2 linked regions of the Oreochromis niloticus genome follow. The protein of the gene in region 1 purifies or fractionates together with the protein of each later gene. This does not show direct contact. Links are inferred from orthologs where the notes say so. Each region holds a gene or a part of one and is shown on either strand. Other genes may lie near its edges. The genes, in order: mark2b and tissue alpha-L-fucosidase.

The links.
Region 2: the proteins of mark2b (region 1) and tissue alpha-L-fucosidase purify together in Homo sapiens (affinity purification with mass spectrometry; 3 studies listed by BioGRID and IntAct, counting the BioPlex papers as one, with this or other methods). This does not show direct contact. The link is inferred for Oreochromis niloticus from reciprocal best matches to the Homo sapiens genes MARK2 and FUCA1.

The regions. Positions count from the first base shown.
Region 1 is NC_031967.2:9,975,590-9,991,456, reverse strand, and holds the start of mark2b (serine/threonine-protein kinase MARK2), read right to left. Parts: upstream 7,469-15,867; 5' UTR 6,192-7,468; coding exon 6,141-6,191; intron 1-6,140. Other genes in the region: krcp (kelch repeat-containing protein), read right to left, coding at 13,144-13,373, 13,846-13,943, 15,318-15,372, 15,466-15,560, 15,673-15,867. UniProt on the Homo sapiens protein: Serine/threonine-protein kinase. Involved in cell polarity and microtubule dynamics regulation. Phosphorylates CRTC2/TORC2, DCX, HDAC7, KIF13B, MAP2, MAP4 and RAB11FIP2. Phosphorylates the microtubule-associated protein MAPT/TAU.
Region 2 is NC_031985.2:27,696,445-27,712,510, forward strand, and holds tissue alpha-L-fucosidase, read right to left. Parts: upstream 8,367-16,066; 5' UTR 8,339-8,366; coding exon 7,803-8,338; intron 7,647-7,802; coding exon 7,512-7,646; intron 7,111-7,511; coding exon 6,973-7,110; intron 6,886-6,972; coding exon 6,780-6,885; intron 6,624-6,779; coding exon 6,423-6,623; intron 6,129-6,422; coding exon 5,938-6,128; intron 5,514-5,937; coding exon 5,414-5,513; intron 5,330-5,413; coding exon 5,195-5,329; 3' UTR 4,756-5,194; downstream 1-4,755. UniProt on the Homo sapiens protein: Alpha-L-fucosidase is responsible for hydrolyzing the alpha-1,6-linked fucose joined to the reducing-end N-acetylglucosamine of the carbohydrate moieties of glycoproteins.

The sequences.
Region 1 (15,867 bases):
AACAATAGCACTTTGGATGCATGCCTGAAAGCCTTCGTTTTAAACTGAAAGTTGGATTGATGTTGGGTTTTTTTGTTAATGTCAAACTACATAAATAGCTTTACTTCAGGAAACAATTATCTCAGGAAACAATTATAAGGAAGTTAATAATCAAAAATGTGACAATTTAATGATGTTCTCAAGTTTTTAACTTTTCCTTGACACAAAAACCAGGCACACTGGATCACAGGAAGAAATCCAAGTATTCACAGCAAACTGATATCAAGCGACTGAATTACACTGAAGCAGTGAAAGAAACCCACACCTTCACCTAAATGACGTCAGGCTCTTCAAATCGCACATCTACAGTTGGCCGCCACACCTACCACTCTGCTCAACTGGTAGGGCCTGTTTTACCCTGTTCTCTCAAGACACAAAACACACACACAGACTGAGCACCAAATTTCAGTGCATGTCGGTCAGATCCCTCGGTAGCACCTACACCCGGACCTTCAGGTATAAATGCACTTGCAGTTGACTAACTGAACGTACCCAGTTGTAAGGGGAAAATGAGAGACTGCTTGTGCGTGTGTGTGCGTGTGTGTGTGTAGGCAGGAGCAAATCCGAGTGTGAGGAAGTAAACGCTCGTGTGTGTAAGGCAGGTTCTCTGTTGCTAAGGCCCTGGCCAGCTTTGTCTCTCTGTTCATCTGCCTAGTGATGGCTCTAATAGGGAGCGAGAGAGACATGGTTTATGGTTTCCTGGGCATTACAGCAACTTGTGTGTGCATACATGTGTCCTATAGCTTCTTTACACGACGACTCATCCAAAAAGAGCATGAATGAAGAGATGAAAAAAAAAAAGAAAAGAAAAGTGAACACACATCAAGTAAACACACTCACACGTTCAGTGGTTCTTTCTCATCTATATTACATTTCCAGCTCCCCAGCTTGGTAAGACATTCTTGCCTTCTTTCATACGCCCGAGGTATCGAGTGAAAAGCGTCAAACTGTGCTCAGCTCTACTCTTATTTCCTTCATGTTTGCTGTTGTGACGCTCAACAAGATTTTGAATCTGCAAGCATCACTGTTTCAGTTCTCGTGGCGTTTACAAAGGTCAAACTAAAATAGAAACTGCTGCTGATGAACTGTAACAGTTCAAGTTATATTAACCATTGGTATAAATCAATAAACTGATTTCAATGACTGTTTTTGGTACAAAAGTTACGTTTTCCACTCACTAACTAGAAGTAACCTGGTGTCTGCCAGGACAAAGGACTGACCAATGTCAGGTTAAACTGCAACCCTGACCAACCTAAGCCTGGAGAGTTCCACAACGGCTTTGTAGATATATTGCTGGGAACCCCATGAAGTTCATGCTGATTATGGTTTCCACAGGTAAAAGGATCAAACTATCCATAAGATTTTGGGGGATTTGTTTACAAAACCTGAGCTACACTCACATCTTTTCATCAGGATCCTTTTAAACTGTTTTGAAGTAGTTAAAAAAAGTTGTCCTGCTTGGAATAGTTAGTAAGTATTAAAAACAGTCAAAAGTAACTGTCTAATACAGTTTAACCCTCAGTCAAGCTAATATCCATCCACTCAAGTTCACCAATTACCATAGGCTCAAGGCACTGCTGTCAAGACTGAAAGCAATGCCAGACGTGGTCGACGGCCTTCAATCATTCACTAATTCGGTGAACTCCAATCAGTCTGATCCAAACAAGCGCGTTTTCAACTGACGTTGCACCAGTCTCAATCACACTAAATGTCAGAAGGATGCTCAATGATTAACCCAGCACTGAAACACACTTGACAAAGGCGGTATGACAGGAGAAATGACGGTTCATAAAAAGGCTTACGAACTGCATTTGTCATTAATAGCTGTTTAAGATAAAGCATATGAACATGCCTGAAGTTTGAAATTTTCCATAGTCCCGTGTACACGACAAGAAAAGAAACCGATACGCCGATGATGATATTCTGTACTGATACCATTTTTAAAAATAGCTGTGCGCCCCAGAGCAATACAGATATTTGTTTGCTTATCTTGTTGTTTATTCCTTTTTTTTTTTGCTTGAAAAAAACAAAAAACAAAAAAAACAACAAGTTTAAATTCTTTTGGGAGCAAAAGTAGAAAAAGCCAGTGCAAAAGTGGAGTTACACAACAAATAAACAGAAAACTAGATCACTATGTTCCATCCCATTGTGTCTGCCCACCACCTCATATCAACCACAGTGAGCTACACAAAACATGTTTATGTCTGATCTGAAGGTGAGGAAATTCTCCCCACACATTTTATAATGATTTTAATAAGAGTGTGTGAGTGAGGAAGTAACATCTGCATGTACTGTTTAGTACATCTGGCTGGAGGTGGGCAAGTGCTTTATCTCCTATTGTGCTTTATTTCCTTGTTCCTTGTTGTAAGTCCTTTGGGAATAAAGACTTGCGTAAATAAACCTCATGAAAACTCAATAAAACCTCTAACGCCACTTCCAAATCTAGTTTAGTTAGTTTTACATTTTCTCCCAATGACCCAATGAGGAAATGTTTCAACTTTGACAAATTAATAGCTTGGCTCTATAATGTGCGGAAGATCCGGCACAGTGTGCAACCATCCAAACAAAGAAGGATGAACTGACAGACCTGAAGAGCCATACCAGTATTTCTAGCTATATTAGTGGGTCAGAAGACATGGCTTAATGAATAGAGGGAGAGCACTGTAAAACAGGAAATCAGACAATTGAGTGATCATGTCTAGGGAAGTGGACAAACTGTGCAAACTTGTTAACAAGATGACTTGTGCCAAAACCTATTTCAAACTGCACTCATGTGATATTTTAACACCAGGTAGTTTAAACACAAAAATACAACCCAACATGTAATAAACATGCATTTATCCTGTTGTTTAACACTGAAGTGTTGTTATACTCATGTGGAACACACAAATAAGTTCCTCAAACTAACGGCAGGCCTGAAGCCTTGCACAACGTGGGAACGTGTACGATCAAAGCCACTCAACATATCTGCCATTTCACACTGTCAGAAAGATGTCATAAGTCACTTCTCTGTATTTGACAGCTCTCTAATTATACGTGCGCAGCAAGTGTTCATGATGACTGAATGGAAAACTGTGTTGGTCAGTAACTTTACTCCACAATCCCCCCAGACCTGTAGAACCATTAACTCACAGATTAGCTGGCAGTCATGTGTAAAGAAGGAAAAAAAGAAAAGAAAAGCTTGCAAACTCTGAAGCCAAGTAAAGCAGCTCCCAATTAGGGTCCCTCAAAATATTAAAACAAACCACTGCAATCAAGCCGTCTTTAGCAGATACAAGCGGATCATAACCTGCTCGTGGGTTGAAAGGATCAAAACCTACACTTAAATCTCTGACGGGCACAGAGAGACTCGTCAACACTCAGCCCGTCCTCATGCCCGGTGCCATTTTGTCCCGTATCTTGAGACCTGACACCAAAGGCTTTCTATACATGGCCTTTAAAGACAGACTGGACTTGTGTGGGAGTATTCATCCATGGCCTTTTGCCTATAAACCTAGTTAAGAATTTGCCATGACCCCAAACTTTTCTCTTTTTTTTACCCCTCAAATCCACCCCTAAATCCTCACTGGATGCTGTGGGACGAGAATGGACGCATTCAGAACAACAGCGGGATTATTTCAAACCGACATAAGGTCAAGGCCGCACAAACAGCGTCCGACAACAAGTTCAGTTTGAGGGGTTATTAATCGCCAAGGTACCGCAGTTAGGTATTACACTCTTATGAGCCTGACAAGATATCACAGGAGCACTTATCTCCCTTCCTGCTTTGTGTGTCCTGTGCTACAAACTAAACACTGCTCCATATTCTGCCGGTTATGTCTGCTTTCAAGTATTTGCCTATCAGAATGGACAATGTTTGATTGTCCATTCTAGACCTGACTAAAGTGGAGCCAGGTCTGACGTTTTAATCGACCGCTTCTCTTTCGCCAAGGTCCTGTGCAGAGGCTGTCACACTGAACACAGTGAGGAAGCTTCTGCTCATGACTTCGTACGTGTCTGTCTTACAGCAACATGTCCAAAAGTGCCCAGCTTTCACTATGACGTCAACTTTTAAGATCCCACTGGAGATGGAAATGCCCTGTCTGTTTGTACTGTACGCAAAAGGCAGCTACAGTGGATGACTCTACTGCATTACTGCTGACCTTTGTTCTCATAAGGGTGTAGCTGTGTACGCATGTCTCATTGTCACCGTGTCTACTTATTTGCCTACATATGAATATAAGCTTATGTCCACTTTTCTTTACATCCTGACGCTGTTTTTAAACGACAACTCAAAAAATAAAGGTGAAAAAGTCTAAAAGTTTTTGTTTGGGTGAAATCTGACTGATCATGTGGACTCATTAGGAAGCTGGTAAGTTAAAGACAGTTTGTCTGATCAGACATTTGCATTCTTGCACGTATGTCCATCAGGTAATAAGTAGAAGAAGTTGTTTGCAGCTGCACTGCATGTGTAAGAAAAAAAAGTGGTTTAACAGAAGTGGCGACAGGCAGTGGTACACGTGCATTGTATCTACTGGCAAACTTATGTCAGCATTTTTGCTTTTATGGGAAGTAAAGACAGAAAAAAATATCTTTGAACCCTTCAGTGTTTACTACCAAGACACACTCCTATTGGCTGATAAAATAAGTTCTGTATTTTGGTAGAGCCATGCATCAGCAGTTCACACTGAAGTTTGGGGTTTTCGTCGTTTCTATTTAGCTTGACAGAGTGCACTCTAGCACTCCCCTTATTGTGTTTCTTTTGTGTTACAAAGCCACACATCTAATTTTTCACAAAGGTTTCATTAAAAATACTTTGCACGTCAGAAACAATAGTTCTATTTAAGTTCCCACACTCGTCAAAATTGCTGATCAGCTGCTAAAAGCAAATCCTCACCACAGATGCATTCGTAGGGCAGCACCGCAAAGCGGGTTTAGCTTCAAACGCTTGCTGACATCATCCAGTGGCTACACTGTCAATACCTAGACAATTTTCTTTTCCCATCAAACATTCAGAGATTTTAATGAGGCAAATACCACGTGATGCTGAACATGGACTGCCCGAGTCACACTCTTCACTAGAAACTATAATAGCTTTCATGTGAGCAAATGCGGCTTTCTCATAATGGAAAGATAAAACTGTCTGCAAGATTAAGACAGATGCGGCAGATATGGAAGCTTAGCTTCAGCTTTCTAGTATGGATTTGGAGCACATACCTCAAAGAACTGCTAATCAAATGTATAGAAAAAACAGGGTTCTTGAAGCGGGAAACCATATCTGCACAGCGTCTGCAACTGATGAATCTCAATTTTTATTTCGGTTTTTTTGGGGAGCTCTTTCACATATGGATGGGGGTTAGCAGGCTTTTACTAGGTCAGAAGATGTGTATTGTTTGTACAGTCTGAGTGCCTTCAATCACCCCCCTATAGGCCTACTTGCAATCCAAGTTTCTTTTTTTCCTTTGAACTATGACCTACAAGGGCTTTTGACTCATTCCTTAACAGTTTATTGCCAATAAACTGAGGATATATCCAAGCGCAACCCTTCTTGCAAGTTTTCATTTGAAATACAAATTCTCATTTCCATTTAAATGCCACTTCTTCTGTCTGATAGCTCTGTGACACATTTAAGCCAAATAAAGACTGCAACAAGCAAACACCACAATTTTCTTCCAGAAGGACAGGTAAGTTGCAAATTAGCATAAATAAATAAAAAAGAAATATATATGTCTCCATCAAACTTTGTGATAAAGTAATGTGTTGAAAACTTACTTTCAGCTTTATGATTGCCTGTATTGCAGAAGGTCAAAAGTGACAAAAAGTCAAGTGGGAGGACATGCCTAAACACAGACTAAACAGAAACCTAAATTTGCTCTGCTATCCTGTAAGGAGTGGGAAATCCAATGTGAGTGCGTAGGCAAGCTGGTGAATCACTGCTCTGTGGCAAAGACAACAGAGACACAGGAGAGGAAGGAGAAAAAAAAAAAGCAACCAGAGACAACCAAAGCCTGTAAAAGGCCAACAAGGGCCTCTCTCCCCAGCAGATAAGAACTTAAAGTAATTTTGTGGACAAATATCACAAATAATCACATTTCTAAGATTAATTTACAAGGATATCTTACCTGCCCGGTCGAATTTTCAATGACTTGAACCAGTGGGGGCCTTGTTGACATTTTTGAAGGAGTCTGTGTTGCCAAAAAATAAAAATAAAAAATGGAAAAGGAACCTTGAAACTAGTACGATTCGTCAGTCTCTGCTGAGCATTTAAAACTTGTGTAGTTGATAGCTGAGGAAAATCTCCAACAGATGTCCAGTGCTAGCCAGCTAGCAGCGCGACAGACAGCCTGTGAATCAACAAGTTGAATCCCACCATCAGCGGCTAGCCGAGTTAGCCAGCTAGCTCGAAACTAGCTAGCAGCAGCAACCGCAGGTCTCATGTTTGTCAACAAGCAGAAAATGGGGAAAACTAATGTTTTCTTCAGCTCCGGCCTGGGTGTGAAGGCATTCAGTTCCCAGTTCAAGTTGATCTGCGTCGATAGCGAACAGTGAGGTATAGCACGGATGTAAGACGCGAGCTAACTACCTGGTGCTGTGACGTTTTGACCAGCTAGCTACTTATGCTAGCCTGAAGAAAAAGTTGGGCAATGGTTGTATTGAAAGAAGACAAGGTTCAGATAGGTGGCTATCGTGCCAACTTGTAAGGTCGACAACTGAGGTTTGAGGAACCAATGACCGCTTGCCAAAATCTACAGCAAATGTTGACACGGCGTCGTTTTCATCGCGCAGTGTCGCCGTTTGTCTTTCTCCTTTTGTGGCAGAGATGTTTCCTTTTAGGTCTTCAAACCAGTTCCGAGGTCTACAAACTTTCAGGCCAAAGTTATTTCCCGGCGAGGTCTCGACCTTCCCAACTCTCACAAAGCAAATTCAAATATTCCCAGTGAGTTATCCGGGGCCAGGGTATCCTAAAAATAAAAGCAGCACCTTGTAAAATGGTCACATGGCAGGTGAGAATCACAAATTAATTTGTTGCGCTAGCTAACTGGTCGACATTAGCCCATGTAGCTAGCTAATTCAGGGTTTCTTTTGAGGTAAGGCTAGCTCGTTAGCTTATTCCCCAGCGACCGCAGTGGCGGTGACTGCCAGAGAGCAACCCACAGAGCTCAAAATCCACGGAAATCACCGGCGCTCTTCCTTGTGTTGCGTGATTGGAATAAGGTCGTTCACCAGTGCTGCACTGCAGTGTGGCGATCTACCAGTTCGTCCTGTCGGTACACCGACTAATATTCCAGTCACCAGCCGACCAAAGGAGGAATCATCAAGTTGTAAAATCCATTATCAGCAAAGTGGGCTTTTCTTCCTCGGAGGTGCGTGTCACGGGCAACGGGGAGGGGGGGAGAAAAGCGAGGAGCTGCGCCCGAATGCAGTCTATGCGCACGATCCTGCCCTCATACCGGAACAAGCTCGCGGCAACATGGCTGCTTGCTTGCACCACGACTTGAAAGGGGAGGGAGGGAGTTCTGAGTTCGGCTTCACTCGATTTTTTCCGAGCCTTTACCGCTGAATGACCGCAATTCCTCCATGCTGGTAAATGGCAGGTGCGGGAGACTGTAATTGTTCTCCTCCTCAACTTTGCAGGAATGAAGGCTCTGTTACAACTCCAGACATAATGGAAGAGAGAAACCTGGAGCCTCCGGGGTGCAAAAGTTCACCGGTCTTTCAGTTCATTTCCTCTTTTTTTTGGTTTATTGATTTATTTAAGTATGCCGATGAATATTTTATCGGGCTCTTTGCCTCCTGCATTGTTAATATTGTGGCAAAGTCTTTTACAGAGCGCTCCTGACAAGTTAATGTGTGCATGTTTCTGCTTCCAGCTGTGATGGAATTTAACCCACCCAAGTAAGTCTACTATCTTTAATTACAAACATGAGAAGCTTTACTCGAGTATGTCGGATTTATGCGACTTTACATTTACTCCACTACATTTCAGCGGGAGAGATTGCACTTTTTTACTACACTAATCTGCATTTAATGGTCAATACTTATAAATGTGCTGATTGGAGGAAGTTTCTGCTCTTTACAGATACTACCAAAAAAACCCCAGAGAAGTGCCTACAGCATGAATGCGTGTAGTCCCATGAACACTGATCCCCCTTTCAGTAAAGCCAAAGAGAAGCTGGACTTTCGTTCAGTGAGTAACTAGTATTTCCTCATTATGTCTGCGCAGATTAATTTCACCTGCAAACAGTCCTATGGACACACGCACACACGCCTCTTTCCGCTCGTCTCTGGAAGCTCCAGTTCTGCAGGCAACACCTACAAGAGTTGCCAGATATTTTTACCACTGAGTCACATCCCTGTTTCCTTTCATCTGTCACACGTTTAGTTTATTCCCATCACACCTCTAAGAATTCCAGTACTCATTTATTGAGGCACACTGTTACAGTGCAGTGCAACACTTATGGAGGGCACATAAACACTTCAATCTTTAAGCCTAAAACTAGCCTATTGGCTAGGATTTGATATTTTGGACTAAAACAATAATACTTTGGTTGATATTCAAATCCATTTGAAGATTATTTTTTTTTAAGCAAATTAGAGAACAATACCTCTTGGCAGCCACAGCTGTAAAAATAACATGTAAATAGAAACTCATGCCATCTAAAAGTGTGAGATGCTGACTGCAGGTACAGACATTTTCAAGTTACTTAGCAACAGCCATAGACTGACAAAGGTAATATGACTTCCACTGGAAGTAGTGATGCCACAAGTCTGTCAGCTGGGAGGTCGGCAGAGGTGCAATATGAAAAAAAAATAACAAATCAGCATTTGAACAATGTGAGGATGTTGTGCAAAATAAAAAAGAAGAATTCAGGATATGAACGGGTATGAGAAGGTTGTTGGGGACGACTGGGAGAGCATCCAACTGGCAGGATTTCCCGATAAACCAAGGGGGAAAAAAATCACCTCCCTGATGATGGAGGGAGAGCACTCCAGGGTATGTGCACTGGGTATGTTCCAGGAAACAAACCCGCCTGCTTTTAGCATATCAATCTACCCTCTATATATTTAATAATGAACCTTGTTAATGCAGAATCACTGCACCTTTCAGTCAGTGCATAAACCTGACCGAGTCACATCATCTGGATCATGTCCAGTTTCATGGTGGATCAAAGTAGAGGGATGCCAGTTTGGGGGGGGGGGAAATGTCAGAAAGCTATAGCAAAACAGTAAATATGTAAACTCAGTGACACCACAGTCTTTTTTTAGACTGTACATGGGCCATTTTAACAGGAGTCATGCTGGTTACAGACAAATATGTGCTGAAGTGTCGCCATCTGCAGGAGGCCTCCTTATATTACATCTATCTATCTATCTATCTATCTATCTATCTATCTATCTATCTATCTCATGCACATTTGCACTGAAACACATTTTCTGGCTGCTGTACAGAAGAAACAACACTCTGTGTAGGAGGCTGAGTCGCAGACCGAATTGCACTAATCTAAGCATATTTTAAGTGTCACTGGAGGAACATTAAATAAAATATATCAGCCTTTGAGTCTCCAATTACTATTTCCATGTGCCAAATGTATGTGGCTGCTTTGAGGATGTAATATGTAACAGTTATTTTTGATATGCAGTCAATAGTTTTCCCAGTAGAGCACGTAAAACAACAAACCGTGAGCACTCTGTGATCGTCGGGCTTTTACAGCAGTTCTGCTTTTCAGCAACTCCCCTCTGAAATCCACCTCAGCCTGGGTGTGTGTAAGTCAGTGGAAAAATACAGATCTTTACTATTACAGCACCTGATTAAAGCAGCACCCTTATTTAGTTATTTTTTCTTTCACATGGTTACATATGAACTGGTCTAAATCCACTGGAGCATGAGAAAAATTAAATTTTTTAAGCAATTATTAACTATTTCTTTATTTTGATATTTCAACACTGTTATATAACCCATGGCTCAAGTCACTCCATGCATGACATGCATCTATTTGGAGCTACTGATGTTGCAGTTTTGTGTCATACTTCATAGTCTCCTGTTCTCGGACAAATTCAAGCATTATTAACACCCACACATATGTTTCAAATAGTTCTAATTAACACCTGTATTCAGTGTAAAGGTATGCATGCTGGAGTGCTGTGGGCCATTAAAGTGTAATATTGCTTATCCACCATGTAGAAGATTTAATGAAGCATCACAGGGGTGGCTATAAAACAAATGGAGCGACTCCAAGGAAGCCAGGAAAAGAGTGGAGGACACAAACATCAAATTAGTGATTCCCTTAGAACCATCATTCCTTCTTCAGCAGTCGGCTGGGTGAAAATCCTGCCCTTAACCTTAGCAATTTAGAAGCTGCTGACTCGCAGCGTGGGCAAAAGTAGTACGGAAAGAACCAAAGCCAAAAACCAGGCTTTTTATACACACTGTACTCTAATCGCAGTAAGTGCAACACCGTGTAATTAGATAAACGGATTGAAGCACATTACCATTAGTTATGATGAACATAATAAAGACTTGTTTTGTGGCCCATTAAGCACGATGCATAGCAACACGTTTTATTTTTCTAATAGTCTGTGAAATAATGAAGTGAGGACGGTTTTATATCCACAGGTATGAAGTAAAATATGTCGAGGAAGTCGGGCTTTCCTTTGTATCGCCACAGGAAATACCATGGAGTAGGTGAAAGCAGTTTGATGGCCTCCAACCGATTCTGACCAGTTTGTTTTTGAGTTTTCAAGGTAGAAAAATTGCAGATGTCTGCCTCCCTCAGCAGATGTGGCACCTTTTAAGAGACACTTTGACAAAGATATCTATAAAGTACTTAAGTCTTAATTGTACATAAAATATAGCTGAATTTTCCTGTTGAAATATTCAGTTGGATGGTCATTAGCTAAAGGTTTGATGTACATGGAGCAGTCCTAGAACATCCTGTCTCAACGATGCTGAAAAGCTATTCTATGTGTTACTTCTAGGCTGGACTAATGTAATTGTTTATCAGGTTTCCCTAAAACAGGGGTGGGGAACTCCAGGCCTCATGGGTCGGTGTCCTGCGGGTTTTAGATGTGTCCTTGATCCAACACAGCTGATTTAAATGGCTAAATTACATCCTCAACATGCCTTGAAGTTCTCCAGAGGCCCGGTAATGAACTAATAGTTTGATTCAGGTGTGTTGACCCAGGGTGATCTCTAAAACCCACCTCTGCCACCTCAAGGAGTTCCCCACCTCTGCCCTAAAAGATCTCAGAAAAGCCTTCAGTTGATCCAAAACACTGCAGCAAGAATCCCGACAGGGACTAGAAATTGTGATGATATCACTGACATATTAGTTTTTCAAGTCGCATGTGGTAGTTGGAGGTGTTAAGACTAAAGTACCATGTTAAACAAACAGAGCACTTCACTGTGAGAATTCAGGCTGACTAGAGTTTCTAAAACATGAATTGGAGGGAGTCTTCAGCTACCAGAATCCAGACAGCCTCTCTACTTTAAATATTAGGCTTCAAACTGTACTTTTTGATAAAGCTTATCGTTATGGCTGGATCAGCTGACTCTGGCATGTTCACCATACATCACATATCAGATAAACATGCAAGTTTGCTAACTTTTGCATTAAATAGCTGGGGATGATGTGGATCGCATTTCTTTTGCAGGTTGGCCATGATGACGACTCACGCTGAAGTCTTTCTTAGTGCTGTGAGAACGAATCTCTGTTTTAAATTAAGTGTGTATTTACTGACCTCTGTTAATCTCAAGTTACCCAACGTGGGGCTGCCTGTTTAATCCAGTGAAAAAAGTTCAAACACAGCCACAGTCATGACACCGTTATCAGGAACCGAGCGGATATGAACTTAATCCCTCCCACGCTCCATTAATCTTTTATTAAAAAGTCTCCATTTAGCTCTGGTTCTCTGAAGATAACAGTGTCACGCTGCAGGTCTCACGTTAGCTTGTGTTACTGTCAAGTGACCACAGCAGCATGAACAGTCTTTTCTGTTCAAAGCTGTCAAACCCCTTTTAATTGATGTTGGTTTGATTTTGTATAAAGTATTCCTCATGCAGTAATGCATAGACTGTACAGAGTCTACTCTACGTACAATCCATGTGGAAAATAATATGTAACTGGGTTTAACTTAATATAATATTAATATTGAGCAGAAAAATGGCTAAAACAGGAGTTATTATGCAGCTGCGTACTTTCATTCTTGGGACTCTGCTAGAGTAGCTTTGCATGATTCATAGTTCAAAATAATCCTTGTTTATTTTATGTAGGGCGTCAGGTGCATCCATCAATTCATACGCTGTCTGATACAAGCCATTATACCTCCCTTTGAACCAGCTTCCACTGGCTGCAAGAAGTTTTATATGGCAGGTAGGTGGGACATTCTGCCATAATGACCATATTAAGGATATCTGCTCTGTCTGACATCATACTGATCCAAGAGGTAAAAAAAACAAAACAAAATCTGAAGCTGGGTGTATGTATGATGAACCAGTATATGCACAATTAAAAAATAACATAAAATAAGGGAAAACACAATAGTTAAACAATAATTACCTTTTAATGTGTATTGAGTAAAATCAGAAAAGCAAAATGGTACAGCCCAGTGACATGAATAGAAAATCCCCCCCCCCTAGTTTGGAGATGATGACAAATACAAACAAAAGAAGGAATAAACATTGTAAAAAAACTGCAATGCACTTACATATATCTGCAAGAAAAAATATATATATTCTGAACTAAAGTAGAGCCTCAGTTTTTAAAAAACACAATCAATATAAACCAACATTTTAAAAAAAGTACCTGAGGAAAAACAAACATATTTACATCATCAAATCTTCCCTTTGCTTTAAAGCAGATATTGTTTTTATGAGTGGGAGCTCCATAATGAGAGAAATCTCTTTCTTAATCCTTTTTTCACGACACATTGATCTTTTGAGGTCTCTCTTTAGATGCTCAGATGTATCAAATAAAACTGGTGAAACCTTTTAAAGCGAAAGAAGAAAGGAGACGTTCAACAGAAAAGGAAAAAAACCCCACAGGATTATAAATAACAAAGGGTGAGGGTGTTAAAATAGCTTTACATCCAGTGAGGCAGAGAGTATTCACCTCTGACTCGCTCTCTTTAAATAGCACCGAGCAGCTCCTCCACGGCGACAGTCGTCAGGTCGGAGTAGAAGTTGCCCTCGTTGTCCCCGCCTCCGAACACCAGCAGGGTTCTGCCGCCGTTCATAGCCGCGTCTTCATCTTCCTCCGAGAAGCAGCGGTGACCGGCCGTCTCCATGGTGATGATGGAGTGCCCCGCCCTGGGTACAGACAGCTCAGGCACACTCACCTCTGTCCAGCTGTTGGTGTCTGAAACAGCAAAACAAAGGCATGAAATTTTTATTTTTCCGCTAATTCTCGTTTTTACACTTTATGTTCAGAATAAACTCAGTCAGGTGAAGGTGGCGGTTAACACATTGTTAACATAAACAAGAAAATGTCAATTTAATTTTTTTAATACTCTTTTTTTTTTATCATACCTGGTAAAAAAGGCTCAATTTACATTCTAGAAGCTGCTCAAAAATCGCTTTGACATACTTATGTAAGCTACTTTATTGTTTATATGTCTGTGCTTTTATTTTAAATAGAGATATTTTTTTGGCATAGAACCAACCGGACTTACAGTATGGACTGTGCAGGAACAGTAGAATAAGCCTACCTAGTTTGGGAATTGCGTTACCAAAACCCTAAAATAATTCTGTCTTGATCTTAAATCCTCTATCAGTCAGACGCTGTCATTAACAACAAAAGACTACTTTTCAGAATCCAAACCTCTGCTCACCTATATCAAAGATGAAGGCGTCACTGAGGGCATTGTTTCCGTTGTAACCACCGTGGATCAGGAACTTTGTGTCTGACAGCACAGCGCTGCCGTGCCAGCTGAAACACACAAGCACACAATGTTCACATTTAATTTCAAGTTGCTTAAAGGTTCTCGAAATTACTGCAGACGATATTGTAACAATCTCTGCTCTCATTTTAATCTCCAGCCTTATTAAAATCTTATTAAACCTTAATTTGAGGAACGTAAATGTCTCCATAAAGCCTTCATTTGTCCCTAAATGTTACTGCTTGTGTTATGTTTATAATACAGCTGCGCCTACATAAAAGAAAAGCAGCTGGTCTCAGAGGCTAAAGTGTGGAATTAACCGAGCTATCCACAAATATCTTCAGTCTTTCCCCATCACAGTACACGATGTCCCCACCTGGGTAAAGACATCCATTATAGCACATGTTCCCAGACAGTTTGTAGTAAATTGCCTCGGTAAGTACAGGCCAGAGGCTGTAACACTAAGAGACTGATCCTCAAATACATCAAGCACACTCTCCCACCTACTCTGGACCCACATCAGTATTTATAGAGAACCAATAAGTCAACAGATGTTGCCATTTACAGTGTCCTCCACACCACACTATACTATACCACCTGGAACACAAGCGTTCAACACAGTCAGCCCTTCTAGACCCTTTCATCGTAACATCTGCCCACTGACTCTAGCTTTCTTGAGAACCTGGCCACAGTTGATCAGGATGGGTCCCCCCACCACCCCTCCATCCTCTCCAAAGGAGCACCACAGGCTGTTTTGAGCCCTTAATAGCATCTCACAACACAATGGCACCATTAAGTTTGCAGACAACACACACAAAAAAAAAGAACTGATCACTGGAGGAGACACAAAGAAGTTGACAGACTGAAAACAACTTGGCTCTGAACACCAAAAAAACAAAACAAAGAGCTGTTCATTAGTTTCAGGAGAAATCAGAATGACCATCTGTCACTGAACATAAATGGAGAGGACGTGAAGAGTCTTTAGTTTTGGGTTCCTGGGAACACATATCACAGAAGATTTCCATGGACACACAGAAGGCACTGCCTCATTTAGGAAAAAAAAAGTCTGTTTTCTGAGAACTGATGAAATTAAATCAGCCTCAAAACCTTCTGGTGTCTTTCTACCTCTGCACCACTGAAAATATCCTCACAGCATCCTGACACGGTACCCAAACGGCTCTGCAGCAGATAACAAAGCGCTGCACAAAAGATTCCCAGCACGCAGCCGCCTGCTCCTTAAGACTCACAAAGGTCATGCTGCCCGCAGAAGAAAGTACGCTGGATCCCCAAAGGATGCCCATCAGCTGTTTGAACGTCCCACGTTCATCAAAGCACGCGTAACACGATCAGATCCATCGTCACACTGAACTCAGCTCTGACGTCTCACACGCTCACATAATATTTTGAAGTGTTATGTGCGATACCTTCGAGGAGAGGGGGGATTCCCAGTTGTTTTGACTGCAGAAAACTCCATCAGACCTAAGACATAAACACGTTGCATTTGAATTATGCAAGCATGGATGTGTAGTTACACGTTTCCCCTGATTTAGGTACTTTGTGTGTGTTGCTCACCAAGGTCCAACATGTACATGTCATTGTAGCATACAGGAGTGTCCCAGCCACCAAACACATAGATCTTCCTCTCCTGCATCACGCATGCAGAATGACTGCAAGACAAAAAGAAACAAAGAGGAGGTTAAAAATATGGAGCAATTATATTTAAAAAGAAAAAAGTTAGAAAGTGTGCGTTAAATAAAGCTTTGGACTGAGCCATGTTACCCTGAGCGGGGGGAGGGTTTGTCTCCGGTGACGATGGGCTGGTACCAGATGGAGAGGCGGGGGTCGAAGATATACAGAGAGTCGCTACAGTCATCGGGCTCTGGGTTGGGCCGAGGAAACACCCCTCCCAGCACGAATAGCTCACCCTGAAACATACTGCAGCTGTGGTAGGCCAGGGGAGGAACCTTACCCTGA
Region 2 (16,066 bases), on another chromosome or scaffold:
GTCTTTCCATTATGAGTTGGCCTCGAGGGGCTCCAGGAATCTTTTAAAGGCTTTGTTGGATATTTATCCACAGTAGCAACAACTACTCCTACTACTTTGTTTTCAGTTCTCGCTGACATTCTCCTCTATTGTTTATCATAATTTGAGGTGTTAGCCAGCCACCTTGCCTTGTGATAACAGGTCCACTGAAAACACACTTCTGGTGGTTGTGATTTCCACGGTTTGCGTTCTTTACTGTATCTATTCATTGTTCGATATCTGCACAGTACACTGGAGTTGTACAAACATGACCTGAGCACTCACCGACACAACAGACAGACTGCTATATGAACCTTTTCACCTCTTTCTGTAAGTGCAAAAACCCCACGTGGACAGCCAGATGGATAAGCCAACTCTCAGTACCTCAGTTTCTAGCAGCAGTGTCTCCAATCCCCAACCCAGGCCTCTGTCCTCAGGGGATTCTCAACCAACAGACCCTGAACATACAGCGCCAGACCAGCCCTGCAGGAATGTTGTTAATATTCTCTGAAAGTGTGGAAATCACACGTCATTTGAGCCCAGATTCTCTTTCAGCCATTCTCCGAGACTGGAAAGCGGAGCGCGGTAACATGCAGGAGCTGGCGATGGAGGCGATCGTAGCCGATGTGCTACGTGTGTGCATTTGCTGTGTGCTGTGCATCTGCAACAGACTGAAGCTGGAGGGGTGTAGTAGCAGCAGATTTGAGTTTTAATTTTACATTTCTGTGAGACAGAGCTGCTCTGGAGGAAAAAGCTAAGTCACTGAATTAACCCAAATTACGAGAAGCAGAGGAGGCAATTTTCTAAAAACATTTCGTTTGTGTCATTATTCTCAGCAATATTTAAAGGTGATCAAATGTGTGAAAAAAAAAAACATTTTCAGACAATTATCAGCATTTGAATACTTTTAACCAACAGCAATAGGAAATGTTTGCTTAGCATTAGCAGCGCTAGGATACAGGAGAGTGAATTGGAAAACACTGGAAATTAAGGTCAGTGTAGAGAGATATGGAGGCTGTAACATTATTCAAACTCATATATCAAACTTAGCTTATTTAAAAGGGTGGGGGCTAATATATGTTTCCATGTTTTGGTCCTATATAAACTGTTACAGTGGCAAAAGGCTATACAAAACAAAAACTGAAATAAGCACTGGTTTCTGATGGTTTTTCTGTTCTTGGCTCTGTAGGATATAGAAGACATCAGGTATCCCTAATATAGCCATCTCAGGTGCACAGCTCTTGGCTGTGAGCACAGAAGCCCCGCCCACCTTCAGTTCAACCCTTCTGTTTGTGAGAAAAGGCCAGTCAGAGGAAAGTTGGTTTATAGCAAGTTTTAGCTGAAACAAATGAGCAGACAGGTTGTATCAAGGCCCAATATATCATCAAAAGATCAAAGCTATACACATTTATTACATACAGAATGTGGATCCAGCCTACTGAGACTGCTAGCAGTTACATATAAGCATGCTGGATTGCATCAATTCTTCTCACGTACTCGTGTTTAGCTGGAAATTTAAGTTCAGACTAAGGAATTAACAGAGGTGATTATAGTCTTAATACACTGAGCAACTATTGCTGAAAAGCTGAGTCCATATCTAATAAAAGAAATGTTTGCATTATCAAAAGATCCTAATTGTTAAGCAAGCTTCCTTAAATGTTCTTTGTTGCTTCCTCTCTGCCTCCAGAGCAGCTCAGCGCCAAGCAGAAGTTTAACTGAAACTCCAATGTGCCTTTAGCACTGAGGTGTACTTCTGTATGTGTGCGTATTAGCACTGTAATGTCGCTTTACAGTAGACACGGCTAGCCATGCGGATCAGAGAAAACTGAGCAATTACTGTGTAATTAACAAAAATGATACCCTGCCACCGTCGTGTTTACAACAATGTAAATACCTGTTACCAACAGACGTTGCTCTTCTCAATATTACACATATTGTTATTGCGTCATGATTATTAGTATGATTGCTGTCATTAAAATGGTTATTAATTGCCATCCCTTCCATTATTACAAACGGTGTTGTCAGTCACAGCCATGGGGTAAACATTGTTCTATATTCAAGGATGAGTCTTGTGTACAATAACGAAACAAAAACTAGAAAAAAAAGTTTAATATCTAACGAGAAAGTAAATAAATCGCTGCTACTAAGGAGACGGAGTAGAGGAAGAGGAAACTGACAATAACTCTGGGAAGATATTTTTCTCTGGGATCACGGATGGACACTCCCGTGCGGGGTGAGATCACCGAGAGAAAAGTAAGCACTGAACAGGTGGAGCGAATAGAAGACCCAGACCTATGACCTTCTTTCTCCGTGTGCTTTTACTCCACTCTGAACTCTTAGCGCTGCCACAACAGAGACGCAACACAGACTTCAAACTGATAAGATGCTCCACTCTCTGTGTTCTACTCTATAATGTAGCAAAAAACACAATAGCCCCCTCTTCTCCTTCTCTTTCATGTCTCACCATGATTTCTAAATCAGACGGGTTTGACACATTAAGCTTTTCTGTCTTTAAGCTCAGCTTTATTGTCGTGCTTACTTGTTTTATACACGTTCGATTCAGTGCCAAGACAGCATACTGTACAGTTAAAACATTAAATGATTTTGTTTTGCTTTATTTGGGGGTTTTTTGTTTTTCATCCTATAAAGAAAAAGAATTGACTGGAGCATATAGCAATAGAGATGCCATAAGATATGAACTTTCACATTGCCACCAGTGAATACACAACGTGCATGAACACAGCGATCCGAACACGTGCTGGACGGCAGTGGAGGACGATGCCCGGTGTAAATCCTGATTCTGTTTGTTGTGTTGTGCTTCTCATTTTGTACATACAAATTGATTTTCTGGATCTCGTAATGACTCGTGGGTCTGGATGTGTCGAAAGGAGCACGCCTGATAGCGCTGAAAGCCCAGAGAGATGGCACACTGTGACGTGGTTTACCCCAACACAGAATGTAACACTGTCAACGTTGTCGAAACATTTTCTAATGGCTAATATTATTACTATTAATATGATTATTATAAAGCTATTTTAGCGAGGTAAATGAGTGGGTGCTGCGTCTTCTTTGTGTGTGTTGATTTTTCTGATTAATGACCAAATAAGTAGGAGTTATATGTAAAGTAATCTAGACATTATGTGTGTCTTACTGGGAAAACTCCCAAAGAACTTTAGCAACAAGTTTTAAAAGAACCTGACATGAATACAAATGTGATAACGGGAGGATTAATTGCCACTAATATATTTTTATTTATATATACTGTATGTAAAAGACAAACAAAGCAGAGTAGCTCGTGGATCTGATGCCCATCTTCGAAGCAACCACTTCAAGAGGAAGTTTATAAGTTCATTACCAGTGTTGGTCAAGTTACTTGAAAATAGTAATTAGTTATTAGTTAGAAGTAATTACTGATTACTTCTCCAAGACAATAATCTAGTTACTTTACTGATTACTTATTTTGAGAAGTAATTAGTTACTTTATTACTTAGTTACATGATACACAACCTGAATAGGTAATAAACAATAGACCTTTCAGCCCAATTCTATTTTTTCTGCATATTTCATGATATAAAATTGGATCAAATAAAAAAGTCTCTTTTTAAAAATTGTTTTATTAATTTTAATCTTCTAACTTTATTCATCAAGCAAAAATGTAATTATATGCAACATTCTCTGACTTGAAGAAATTTGTTTAACATTTAAACCTGTTATCTGCATACTTCAGCATATAAAATAAAATAATGTTTTGTGTTTACACTCACTCTTTCAAATAGATGCAAGTAAAACACCGCAAAAAATAAATAAAATGAAAGGTTCAGCCGCACTAAGTCCTGTTGCGCTTAAATCTATTTCCACCTGTTTAGCAGGAGTGAGGCCAGTGGAGGTTTATCTTATATTATATCCCTTACTTTACTAGTTACTTGAAAAAAGTAATCTGATTACAGTAACACATTACTGCCTATCTCTGTTCATTACATACTGTCGCAATAGTCTCGACAGTGGTGTAATTTCCCTTTGTGTGACTATACCAGTAAGGTAAAGTGGAAATGGAATGCATTTTCTGAGCTTTTTAGTAGTTTTACATGTTTAAAAAAAACAAAAACAAACAAACAGCTTTTTTCATGATGAATATTTCAGACTAAACTCAAGGGTAAATCACTTTATAGATTCACATCTTTTTTGCAGCATTGATGTATTAACCTCGACAGCACACGGCTAAAATGCAAAGTAGAGGTCAATGATAAGGATTCTCCAAACCGATTTTCCATTTTTCTCGCGTCCGTCACCGCCTGGAAGGATTTACAATGCAAATTCTAAGCAGACCCGATAAACCTATTAAGAAAGGCTAAAGGAGAGGACAAAAACAATTTAACGCTGGCATTCTCTGTCAAATGCTCAGTCCCTGTGGCCATTCACTTCTCAGTTAAGTGGAAAGTCAGACTGACACATTCAGGGGACATTTTTGTCAATTCGCACATCCTAGGAATTGAAAGCAGTCAGTGGTTACTTATATATGAATAAGGACCTCCTGTGGCACTTCAGGGGTTAGAACATCAACGCAGTCATCCATTAGTACAGATGTCATAACATTATCATGCCCCGCAGGTTTGTTACTGTCAACTGAGGCACTGATGCATTAATAAAAATTGAAGGTGCCATTTATGCTTTTAGCAAATCCTAAAATACCTGCTTGCTGACTGACCCTGCATTGGAAGCTTAATAATAACAGAACAATTAGAAGACGAATCAAGTTATCTTTTATTCCACCAATTTTAAAAGGAGGCAAGTAGAAAAAATAAGTGCTTTGTATACAATCTGCTCATTTTCAAAACAAACTGCTGGCATAATGAATCATTTCTGAAACGGCACTCAGCCGAGAAACTGCCAGAAAAGCTCCACAAGCTCAACAGCAGAATCCCGTTTTCATTCATAGACACGCGCTCATGAAAAAACAAACACAACTGAGACACAGTGACAGTAAATCTTTAAGCCTTCAGAGCGTCAAAGCGATCACCGAGGAGGAGTGTTTCATTCTTTCACTCTGGAAATGATACAAACTCATTACACGGGTATTTTCCTTTCAAGACAGACAGTGAGTTTCCCCATTAATCTACAATCATTAAAACCTGAGTCGAGTCATTTGAAATAATTCAACATTTTGGGCGTTCGTAGCTTACTGCACGAAGTCCAGTCCAAGCGTCCATGCCTGAGCAGGAGTGTAAGGCAGCTCTGGCAAAAGGACAACAAGGCCACCACCGGGGTTGACTGGGGCCCAAGATAAAGGTGTAGGATTCCCCACCAAGAACACCTGGACAAGAGATAAAAACAGATCAAAAAAAATAGTTCATGTTTTTCAACTGTGAGTACGACATGGACAGCATTGTTTCTTTACCTGTGTGATGGACGAAGTTTTGGGTGCCAGCAGTTTCACTGTGCTCATCGGGGGTTTGGCTGTTAGGATGGCATAGACTGTCAACCCTTTAGATGTATACCTAGAACAGTGAAGACCATTACAGAGTTTTTTTTCTGCATACAAAAGTACCAGCACCAAACAAAGTAAAAATCACCAGGACTGGTGGACTAAGCAAGGTAACACAGACTCATTGCCTAACTAGATCAATACAGGTGATCATAGCTAGCTTTATTATGCACTTTACTGTGAAAATTCTCAGCTTCCTCACATTGAAACAAACACCATGCTATTTAACATACGTGTTGCCAAGTACAACAGTACTCATCCTGTCTGTATCTGCCCGTAACCTGCACTAATCCTCAGAGCCGATTAGCTCTCCCACTGCACTAAAACTCTCATACAGTTGACAGATTGTGGATAGACTCATCTTGAATCTAGAGAGTCAAGAAAATGCAGTGAAAATACAGTGATGTGATCTGAGTCACATCTCCCTTTTTTCTTACCAAACTGGTACAGTGGTGTTTTCTGACTGCACCCTCCAGGGTTTGGAAGAGTAAATGGCCTGCCCGTTGACCTCCAGCCAGTCTCCAACACCTCTTAGCCTCTCCTCAAACAAAGGGGGGATCATCCCGTCAGGTGTGGGACCCACATTCAGAAGGTAGTTACCCCCAAAAGCCACTGTGCGGACCAGATCCTGCAACAAAGCAACAGCAGACACAAGAGGAAGCAGGCAATAAAACGGTGTTACAGTCCAGATAAGCAAAAGATGACTGATCCATTATGGCCTAACCATCAGAAACCAACAGAACAAAAGGACAGCACACTTGGCTTGGATTAATTGATTAAATACAGCCATTATAATTACAAGAGTATTTCCTGAAGGCTGTACACACAAGCAAAGATTAAAGATATTCTATAACAACCATATACAAATAAAAGCAACGTTAACTTTAAATGCAGAAGCTAATATCTGTGTGCATATCCTCACCTCGATAATCGCAGCCAATGGCAAAAGTTCGTTCATCTTCATGTTTCGACGGTAACCCCAGGAAAGAGTATCCACAGATGTGCATTTCTCCCACTTGTGTGTGGGCAGCTGGCCCGGCGTGTACTTGTCCTCGCAGTTGTAGTATCCGCCATGTTTACAGGCACAGCCAGCTCCCCATCGGTCATTAGTCACAACGGTATCCTAAGAAAAAGAATGAGGACTACTTTTGCTACCTGCAGTTCAATACACCACAGCTAAAATCCAGGAAGCACAGGGGATGTCTTTTTTGCAGCATCTGAACTTTCAAAATAAAAGCAAGTGCACAATCTATGACTACCTTGTCATAAAGACACTCACTTTAACTGGGCTGTCGTTGTAGAGCCAGGCCAAGAATTCGGTAGAGTTCCAGTAGGTGTCAGGTGCTTCCCAGTCTCCGTCAGACCAGATGACTTCAGGTCGATACCTCCAAGGCAACAGGGGAGCAAAGGTTTAAATATACTGCTGGCATACATGTATAAATTGCTGACGCAATATTTTAAGCACCACAGACCTTACAACCATGTTATAAAGCTCTGGAAGTAGTTTCTGCAGCACAAACTCCTGCGTTTTGAAGCCATTCTTCTTGTCAATGAGATAGAGAGGGTGGAACCACTCATACAAGGAATTGTAGAGTCCATAATGCAATGACCTAAAAGGGGAAATTACAGACGTTTATTAAAAAAACGGCAATACGTGCAATTTAAATGACATCACTTGGGAACACATCTGATCTAACCAACAATTACAACTGATACACATGGCTGCACCGTTATTAATGATTCATCTTAACCCAACAATCATCTGTTGGTAAAGAAGTTTATGACAAGTAAGTTCCACAAATATGAAGCTTTAAAGCTTTTCTGCATCGTTAATGACACCTGACTGACAAATGAAGAGCTCTGAACAGGCTGATCGATATGAAAATACAGGAAGCTCTGTAGGAGGAAGGCAGTGGGTTAAAACTCACTGGGCTTCTCTGCATATCAGTGTCATACCATCTGTCAACAATAACCACCTTTTTTTTTTAACATCGTAACTTAAGTTTTTCACCTGTTGCGCACTGCCTCTGCCAGGTCTCCCACCAGGTCCCTGTGAGGACCAGTATCAACAGAATTCCAGTTCCATGAGTTTGGAGACTCCCAGTTAGTAAAGCCTTCGTGGTGTTTGGCAGTCAGGACCACATACCTGCATTGACGAGGGTGTGCAAGTAACACAGGGTACGTGTACTGTGTAATAATAATACTACTACTACTACTAATAATGATAATGATAATGATGATGTGTATACTGAGAGAAGGCGAGGGTCAAAAAGACGATACAATATTAAAGAGAAACACTCACTTTGCACCAGAAGCTTTGAAAATATCCGCCCAATCATCCGGATTGAAGAACTGCGCGTGAAACTGACGAGCAAACTCCGGGTAGGTGAAGCCCGGTGGGTAGTTCTGGGACATGTAGTTCACATATTTCTGGTCCGGGGGCTGCTGGCCCTGCCAGTGCCACCAGAACCACTCGCTGCCAAAGCCGGGCACAGAAAACACGCCCCAGTGGATGAAAATTCCCAGTTTGGCTTCGTCGTACCATGAGGGCAACGGCCTGGCGTCCAGGCTCGTCCAGTCCGGGGTGTAGCGAGCCGCAGTTTGAGAAACAAGAGCAACGACAACAACAAACACGGTTAGCATGATAACAGGTGAGCTTCCCCGCAAACTCCTGCAGCTGCTCGAATGAGGATGTTGAAGGAGCGTCACATTTACAGTTCCCCTGACTGTGTGTCCAGAAACGGAACAACAGGAGTCCAAATGTCCCACAGGCAGCTCGGTAAAACAGCGACGTTTTAGGTCCTTTCCGCTAAACTGTGCCAGTTTTATTTCCGTCATATGACTCGGAGCCACTATCACGTGGTTGAGTTTTTCTTGGGTTTTTTTGTTACAACTTTATTGAAACAGGTGGCCAGAACAAAAAGACACCTGCACATGTAAAAATAAAGAAATACGTATTTGGGTATTTGTGCAGCATTTTTTCTTGGGAATATTGAATCATATATAATTTTTTGTTTTGGACATTATTAAAGAAATTAAAGGAATCTCTAAGAATATCTTGACTTATTCTTAATCAGGAAATTACAGAAAGGCAATTCTTTTATTTTTTGCGTTATTTTTCTTCAGTAATTTTGACTTAATTCAATGTGTGTATATGTATTCATGTATTAATTTATTTAATGTTTTCATAAAAAGTGCTTTAAAAATAACGTTCTGGGCGAAGAGTTTTCAGTGGTCACTCCTTCAAGTGACTTCAGTCTCTGTCTGCAATAACAATAACGGCTCATAACGATCATTAATAGTCTTCAAATTGTTTTTGACCAATGTGTACTGAAACCAGCAAAGTGAATCAATCGTGATCCATCATTATTCGTGTGTTCTCAATATGAGTGGTGCTGTATTGATGGCTCTAGTTTTGCAAAAAACCTGTATTTTATAGACATAACACCTGACAGATGTTAAGGTGAGGGACAAATATGAGTATCCAACATCTGGAGGCAGATTGCTTTTAATGGTTTTGAAGATGACTGAATTTTCCGAGGAAGATGTTCTCTGCACATCTGATTACAAAGAAATAAAAATCCCGATCTCGCTCCAAAACAAAGTGTGTAATTTTGCAAGTCATAAAAACTTAATAATAAACTCGAGGAAACATATTTCTAAGGCATATTTTCTTTACCATTAATAACGAACTTCTCTACATTGGACAGTTTTCTTTGGGAATACCGGGATGCCGAATGGGAATAATTCAGTCTTTACTACCACATTCATGTCTCCAAGTCATTCTCGTTACTGCGCGCAAGCTCCGTCGTGGAGGACTCGATCTGTGGCTCGTTTTGCACCTCACACTTTATGTCCGTCGAGGTGTCCGTGTGTTCTTGGCCGGATGTGTACTCGGCTAAAGCTTCCAGCCCTGCCGCGATGAGGACGTCCTCTCCCTGCGTCTTGCGGCTGTAACCCAGCCTCTTCAGGGTCCGCCGGGCAGTTGCAAGTGAAATGGGCTTCTCCACCCCGCTGCTGTTGTACATGGCATGGATCTCCTCAATCGTAGCCTCGCTGTTGGCTTCCATCAGCCTTTCCAGTCTCTTCTCTCCGTTCTCGTCCACGAGCCGCTTCCGTCCACACGGTCCCCGCTGACTGAAGGTTTTCTGCTTCTGGCACCATTCGCTGTAAACTCGAGACACCGCGGTCTTTGAAAAACCCAACAGGTTCACTGTTTGCGAGATGCTGAGCCCGCCGTCTCGGGCTCCCACTATCATACCCCGCTGAAACTCACTTAAATCCCGAGACTTGCCCATGGTGCACAAACGGTGAGAAGCGCTGCAGATCTAAATACTCATTCTACTTCGGTGGTTTTCGGTACATTGGGCTGGAATAAAGGCTTATTGTCGCCCTCCTGAGTTGCCTTGGTGATTTTTCGATTTTTGCTCTTAAAATATGCATAAAGTCCCCCGGAAAATCAGCTATGCAGCCATACTACCACCAGGCCCACCACTAAAACTAACTCGTGTTCATACACACACACTTGTAAACTAAAATCAGCAGAACTTTAAAAAGCTCATCAGACTCGTCCTGAATGAGTGAGAGACAGTGATCACAAATTAATCCACCAATTCACAAGATGATTTTATGACAAATCATCTCTCCCATTCAACATCATCATCTTCATCAGAAAGGTGGTTTAAACTAGCTGTGACCCAGAGGATTCTGCAAGTCGTCATAATTTTATGTCTTTATGCATCACCCAGCAACTTTTGGTCTGTAGGAGTTATCTTTAAAAGTTATGTGTTATTTCAGTTACAACCAATGTTCCCCCTAAGCTGCACACGTGCGCAATTGCGCACTGCTGGCACGGTCTCTGCGCACAGAAAATCTGTGTTGCGCACAAAAAAAATTAACCTGAATTGAAATTAAAATTAATACTTTAACAATTCTGTTTTGCAGTGTTAGTCAGTGAGTGACTGGCTGCTCCCGTAAGTCCAGCCAATAATGCGATTTACATTCGTATATAAGCAGCTAATCAATGTCGCTGACAGGCTATGACAGCGTCCTTATGTGCCGACACCGGTGTTTTAGCTAGCAAAGCGACGTGGCTGATGTGGAGTGAAGCCACGTTAATGACAACGTGTACAACCATTGGAGATGTGAGCAGGACAGACGGAACAATTGACGGAAAATGTGTGGACTTTATACCAGTTTTTAAATTGTGTTGATAGGCCACTAAAACCAGAGTTGTGATAAAAAAAAATATGCAATGATTGGTTTTCTTCCTGAATACTGTCGTTGTTTATATTTACTGCGGGAAGAAACGGTAAAAACGGCGTTTTATAAGAAAAAAGGCTCGAAAGCAAAAACAAACTCCACCCCCCTCTCCCTTTCCTATTCGTCCAAGAAAGTACCATGTCGACCAATCAAGAAATGATATGGCAACGTGGCATCTAGTTGTTAAGAAACGGGGGGAAGTTTTAGGAGTGACGGCGGTGCTTTGATATGTGAGAGATTTGCGACGTTTAGCGCAAATCTTGTGTAGTTAGTGTGTAGTGTAGTTTTGCTGTGTGTGTCAGAACAATGAGGCGAGTACTGAATGTTACAGGTGTTACAGGAGTGATACATCTCCTGTTGTCAGGCCTGCAGGTATCAGGCTGTTGTTCTCCTTTATCTCATAGGGGACAGAAATTATTTTTTCGAGTGGCACAAATAATTTGTGTGGCATCAGATTTGATGCAGAACAGCTGATTGTTCTGTAAATAGTTTGAAATGTTTATTTAAAAACGCCTTGGCTGCATTAAAAAAAAATAGCTGCAAAAATCTTTGTTGTTTGCCAAACTGAGTTACTTTTTTGAAGAAGTAACTATATAATTAATTGCCCAACATTGGTCATTATATACTGTATTTTGCAGACAGAGAGTTACAGAACTCTCCCAGACTACAGACTCATAATACAAGTCAGAGCTTTTTTTAAAAAAAGAAAGAAAGTTGTGTTTTCAAAATTGGAATTCAAGTTATTTTTACTTCCAATAGTGTTAACATACTGCACAGGTCAATGACTAGATTTTTTTTACATTTTCATTGTAAGTGGGCTAAAGCAGTTAATTAAAAGTAGTCTAACATAAATGTAAATGCTGCAATTTGATTATTTTAATAAACCATGTAACTTGGATGGATTAGATGCTGGCGTGACCACAGTGCACACGTCTGATGTTGCTCACAGTGGTCCAAGGGACCGCTCAGGGAGTTTGTGTGTTCACTCAGACACATGAAAAATTAGAGGGAACATTGGTTACAACTCTGTATTTTTGTAGTTGTTTTGAGAACAAACCACACGTGGATAGGTAAAAACCAGATGATCATTGTTCTAGACAGTAATCGGTTCTGAGGCCAGCAAGCCCAAGTGACAAATAGAGAGGCAAGGCAGAGATGGTTAAGACACCTGCAGAGGTGGATATGGGACTTATGGACAAAGGATGTTAAAGATTGAGCTGTAAGACAGGAGAAAAGAAGCAAAAAATTAAAGCAAAGTGGCCTAATGCTAGAATTCAAAATCTCAGTTTGAGGTTCATGTTGATTCTCTTTCCATTATGAGTTTTTCACATTTCAGCCCAAACCTTTGCTATCTTATTCATATTAGGAGCCTTGTATGTGATAATGGTCAACGGTTGATAGAGACGGCTGTCAGGTTTGGAGTAGAACGTGTTGGTCGTGCTCTGTTTGAACCCATTTGAAGGTTTCTATTATCGGGAAAAAAAGTACAATGCAGTAAAATTATATCGCTCAAAATTAAATGACGTATGATAAAGCGATAGTTCTAATTGTTGCTCCATAACAGTGTAAGAGATACTCCAAGTTTTGACCTGCCAGCATCTTTGCTATGGTGAGAACAAGAACCTGTGTTGAAGTGAGTGAAGTGGCACATTTGGTTCCTGGTAATATTGGACGTTGCTGCAAGAGCAACGGCAATATGCAGCAACATGTTCCTCTCAAAAACTTAATTTCTCTACGTGGTCATATCTCTAAAGGTCAACTTCTCTTTGCTTATAGCAGCTCACGTCACTTACCCAACAATTACTCCTGGCCTTTTTCACCAGTTCTGAAATCTTCATTAACTCCATCCTGTTAAACTTGAATGGCTTCATCATAATGTCTGTATACAATAGAGAGCATTGTATCAAAATCGAAACAGCAGGAAATGACCTCACTAGTGAAGTCTTTATTAGAAGAAAATAAAATTTCAAAACATTAAAAAGTTAAATAAAAAGGCCAGTTCACTTTTTTTAAAGCGTGCAGTTGATGGCCCAATAAATTCATTGCAGTAAATTAATTATTTTTAATTCAAATTCTCATTTAAATTTTTAAAATGTTTATGTATTGTTTCAAAAAGAAATAAAAGTAACCAAAAAAAAAAATCAAAAAGATTAGTAAAAAGTAATTAGTAAACTTAATCCTTTCATGCATGATTTATGACAACCTCAATCAGGATTTTTTTCTTAAGTATTTTTATTCATCTTTAGGCATGAAAAGATAAATAAAAATACTTAAGAAAAAAAATCCTGATTGAGGATTTCTTCATTCATGCATGACAGAGTTAAATAACAATGATTACAATGAAACACGTCTATAGTAACATTAAACGACCAAGGGGTAGCATGGTATAGAGTGACACATCAGTGTCCAATGTAGTGGTTTATGTGCAAGTATACCTTTCCATTTAACTCTGAGATTCTGGAGCATGCCTTGTAGCATCACAGGTCCAGGCTTCCTTAGTTAATAATAACTTAAGGAGCCATTCAGACACACCAGGGAAAAGGCTTTTGTGAAAGTCACCAGAGACCTCGTCCTTGCCTTACATGCAGACCTACTCACCATCCTCATCATCCTTGACCTCAGTGCTGCTTTCGATACCATCTGTCATCTTCTGTTATTACGAGTGGGCAGCACTGGAATCAAGGACAGAGCACTAAAACGGTTTACATCCTACATAGCTGACAGAAAGCAATTTGTTCAAGGCTAGACTGCCCACTCCATATCAGCCCTTTACAGATGGGGTCCCCCAGGGATCAATGCTAGGACCCGCGCTATTTATAATTTAGCTTCTTCCTCTTAGATATATCATTGTCTCTTTGGTTAATCTGCTCCAAATAATTTAGAATTCAGCAGCACCAGGTCCATAAGTCTCGTAAGCTATCACATGCCTCTAAAAACAATTCACTCATTTTATCCTGAATAATACACACAGGTGTATTCTAGTCATTACACCCTTAATAGTGCTATACAATTACATGCAAGAAGATGATGGCTAAGGAAATGGTGGCACAAATTAAAGAGATTAGCCATATATTACAGAGTAATGGCTAATTAGACTTTAGCCATTATATAATGTATTTTGTGCATTAAATACATAACCAACTACTCTGTAAAAGGAAGAAAAGCAGTTGTTTACTTAGAGCAAAAACCTGAGACAGCATGCTGGCACAGATTTGAGCCGACTAACCACTAGAGTGCGCCACAGACTAGTTTTGCACTTGTTGCATATCTTCGTCAACTAGGTCCATTTAAACCACTATATTAACAAGTGACTCCTGGACTGTGAAAAAAAAACTACATGCAATCATAAATGAGATGAAGAGGCATCTGGGAAATGTCCACAGTTTTACACCACATTTATTGCATTTATACCTCGAGTGGCCTCTTTATACCCAAAAGACTTTCAGTATGCAAATATGCTTTTTTCTTCCTTTTGGACAAAGCAAAACATTTAAGTAAACACTGTCTGTCCTCTGCAAGCTCAGGAATCCCACCCTGACAGTCATGTTTTTCTTATGTACAAAATACACAGAAAATCATTTTCCTTTTTTTTCAGTTGTGCAATTATAGAAAATTCAGAAAAGAAAAGACTACAGTGATGATTTAAAGCATCCATTCCTAAAGTTAAGAGTGCTGTGGTCTAACTTAGAAAACAGAAGATCCCATGGGACCCACCTAATCTTAAATCTTCACTCTAATCAACATACAAGAGAAAGTGACACATTTCCTTGTGAATTTTATTCCAAAAACATAAACAACACAGGGGATTGGCTATCAATCTCTAATGCAACGCAGTCATATGCAAACTTCAATACAAGAGCTGTAAATTTAGGTCAAAGTAATGAATAATATCACAAACTAACCACCTCCTACTACCTGTTTGAATTCATTTTTATATAAATAAATACATTTAGATAAAGATGTAACTGTACACACTTGTGAGTAATCACCCTGATGGGAACTGCAGCTGTAACACAAATCTTCTTAGGACAGATTTGTGACAGCATCTTGCACAAGGGTGACGAAACTATTCACAGACAAACATGCAAGCGTACGCCAAAGTGCAACCCCAAGAGTGGATGACCACAGATGCCAGGTTGGGAAAAAAAGTGTTTAATGTTAAACTCCGGGTTGATTAACTCTGATTTTTCAGTTCCAGGGACAGTAATCAGAGTTAGCTCGATCAGCTGTGTGTAAGGAACGACTGAAGAGGTGCTGTGGCTGAATTTTGTAAATTGTTATTAATGACAAAAAAACTCAAGAAGGACCACTTAAAATATTTTTATTATAGCAAACTTCCCTGATATGCTACCTCAGGGTGCTCACGTTACAGCTGCAGTGAACATACTGGGCTGTGGATTACCTCAGTCCAAGTTTAATCTAAGTTAAGTATGTTAAAATGTAATAAAGCACACGACTCCTTCTGATTTGTTAAAGCTTTAAATAAATAGCACCACTTTAAATCATATTTGGCATTTGCAAAGACTTTTCCCATAAGCCGCTGCTTATGGGAATTTTTATAGTTGACTGAAATGGTGTTTGCTCTAGTAATGACAGTGCAAACCCTGACAGCGATCGCCTTATTTCAAATGTGAAAATGTCCATGGTTCAGGAGAGTTAACGTGCTTGGTTGAGACTGTGATAACAATGATTGATTAGAGCGATCGTTATAGTCTTCAGATTGTTTGTTGACCAGTGAGTAGTTAAACAAGCAGAGTGAGTCATCTGTGATCCTTCCCTCATCCTGTACTCTCAGTATGAGTTGTTACCAACAGCCAGGTAGTTTAGACTTTAACAGCATGAATCAAATCTCCTTTGTTCCTCTGTGGAGACTTTTAAATGTTAGCCTAAAATGAGCTGAGGCTACACGGCACTCTGAGCGATGCCTGCTGTCAATAAATGTGTCTGTATCTGCTGGTGCTGTGTTTATGGGTCTAGTTTTCTACAGTCCAGGTCAAATTTCACAATGGGGAAAATAAAGCATCTATCTTTAATATATTAATGGTTATTTTGGCAATTTGAACGAATTTTACCATTTTTATTTTAACATCCAACTTTCTGTTTCGTATAGACAGAATATCTGACAGCTGTTAAGATGAGGGACAAATAAAAGTGTCCAACATCTGGATGCATTTTTCTTGTTAATGGTTTTGAAAGTGACTGAATTCGCTGAGGAAAATGTTTTTTGCACATCTGATTACACCGAAATAAAACTCCTGATCTGGCTCGAAAAACAAAGGTGTATATTTTGTAAGACATCGGCAT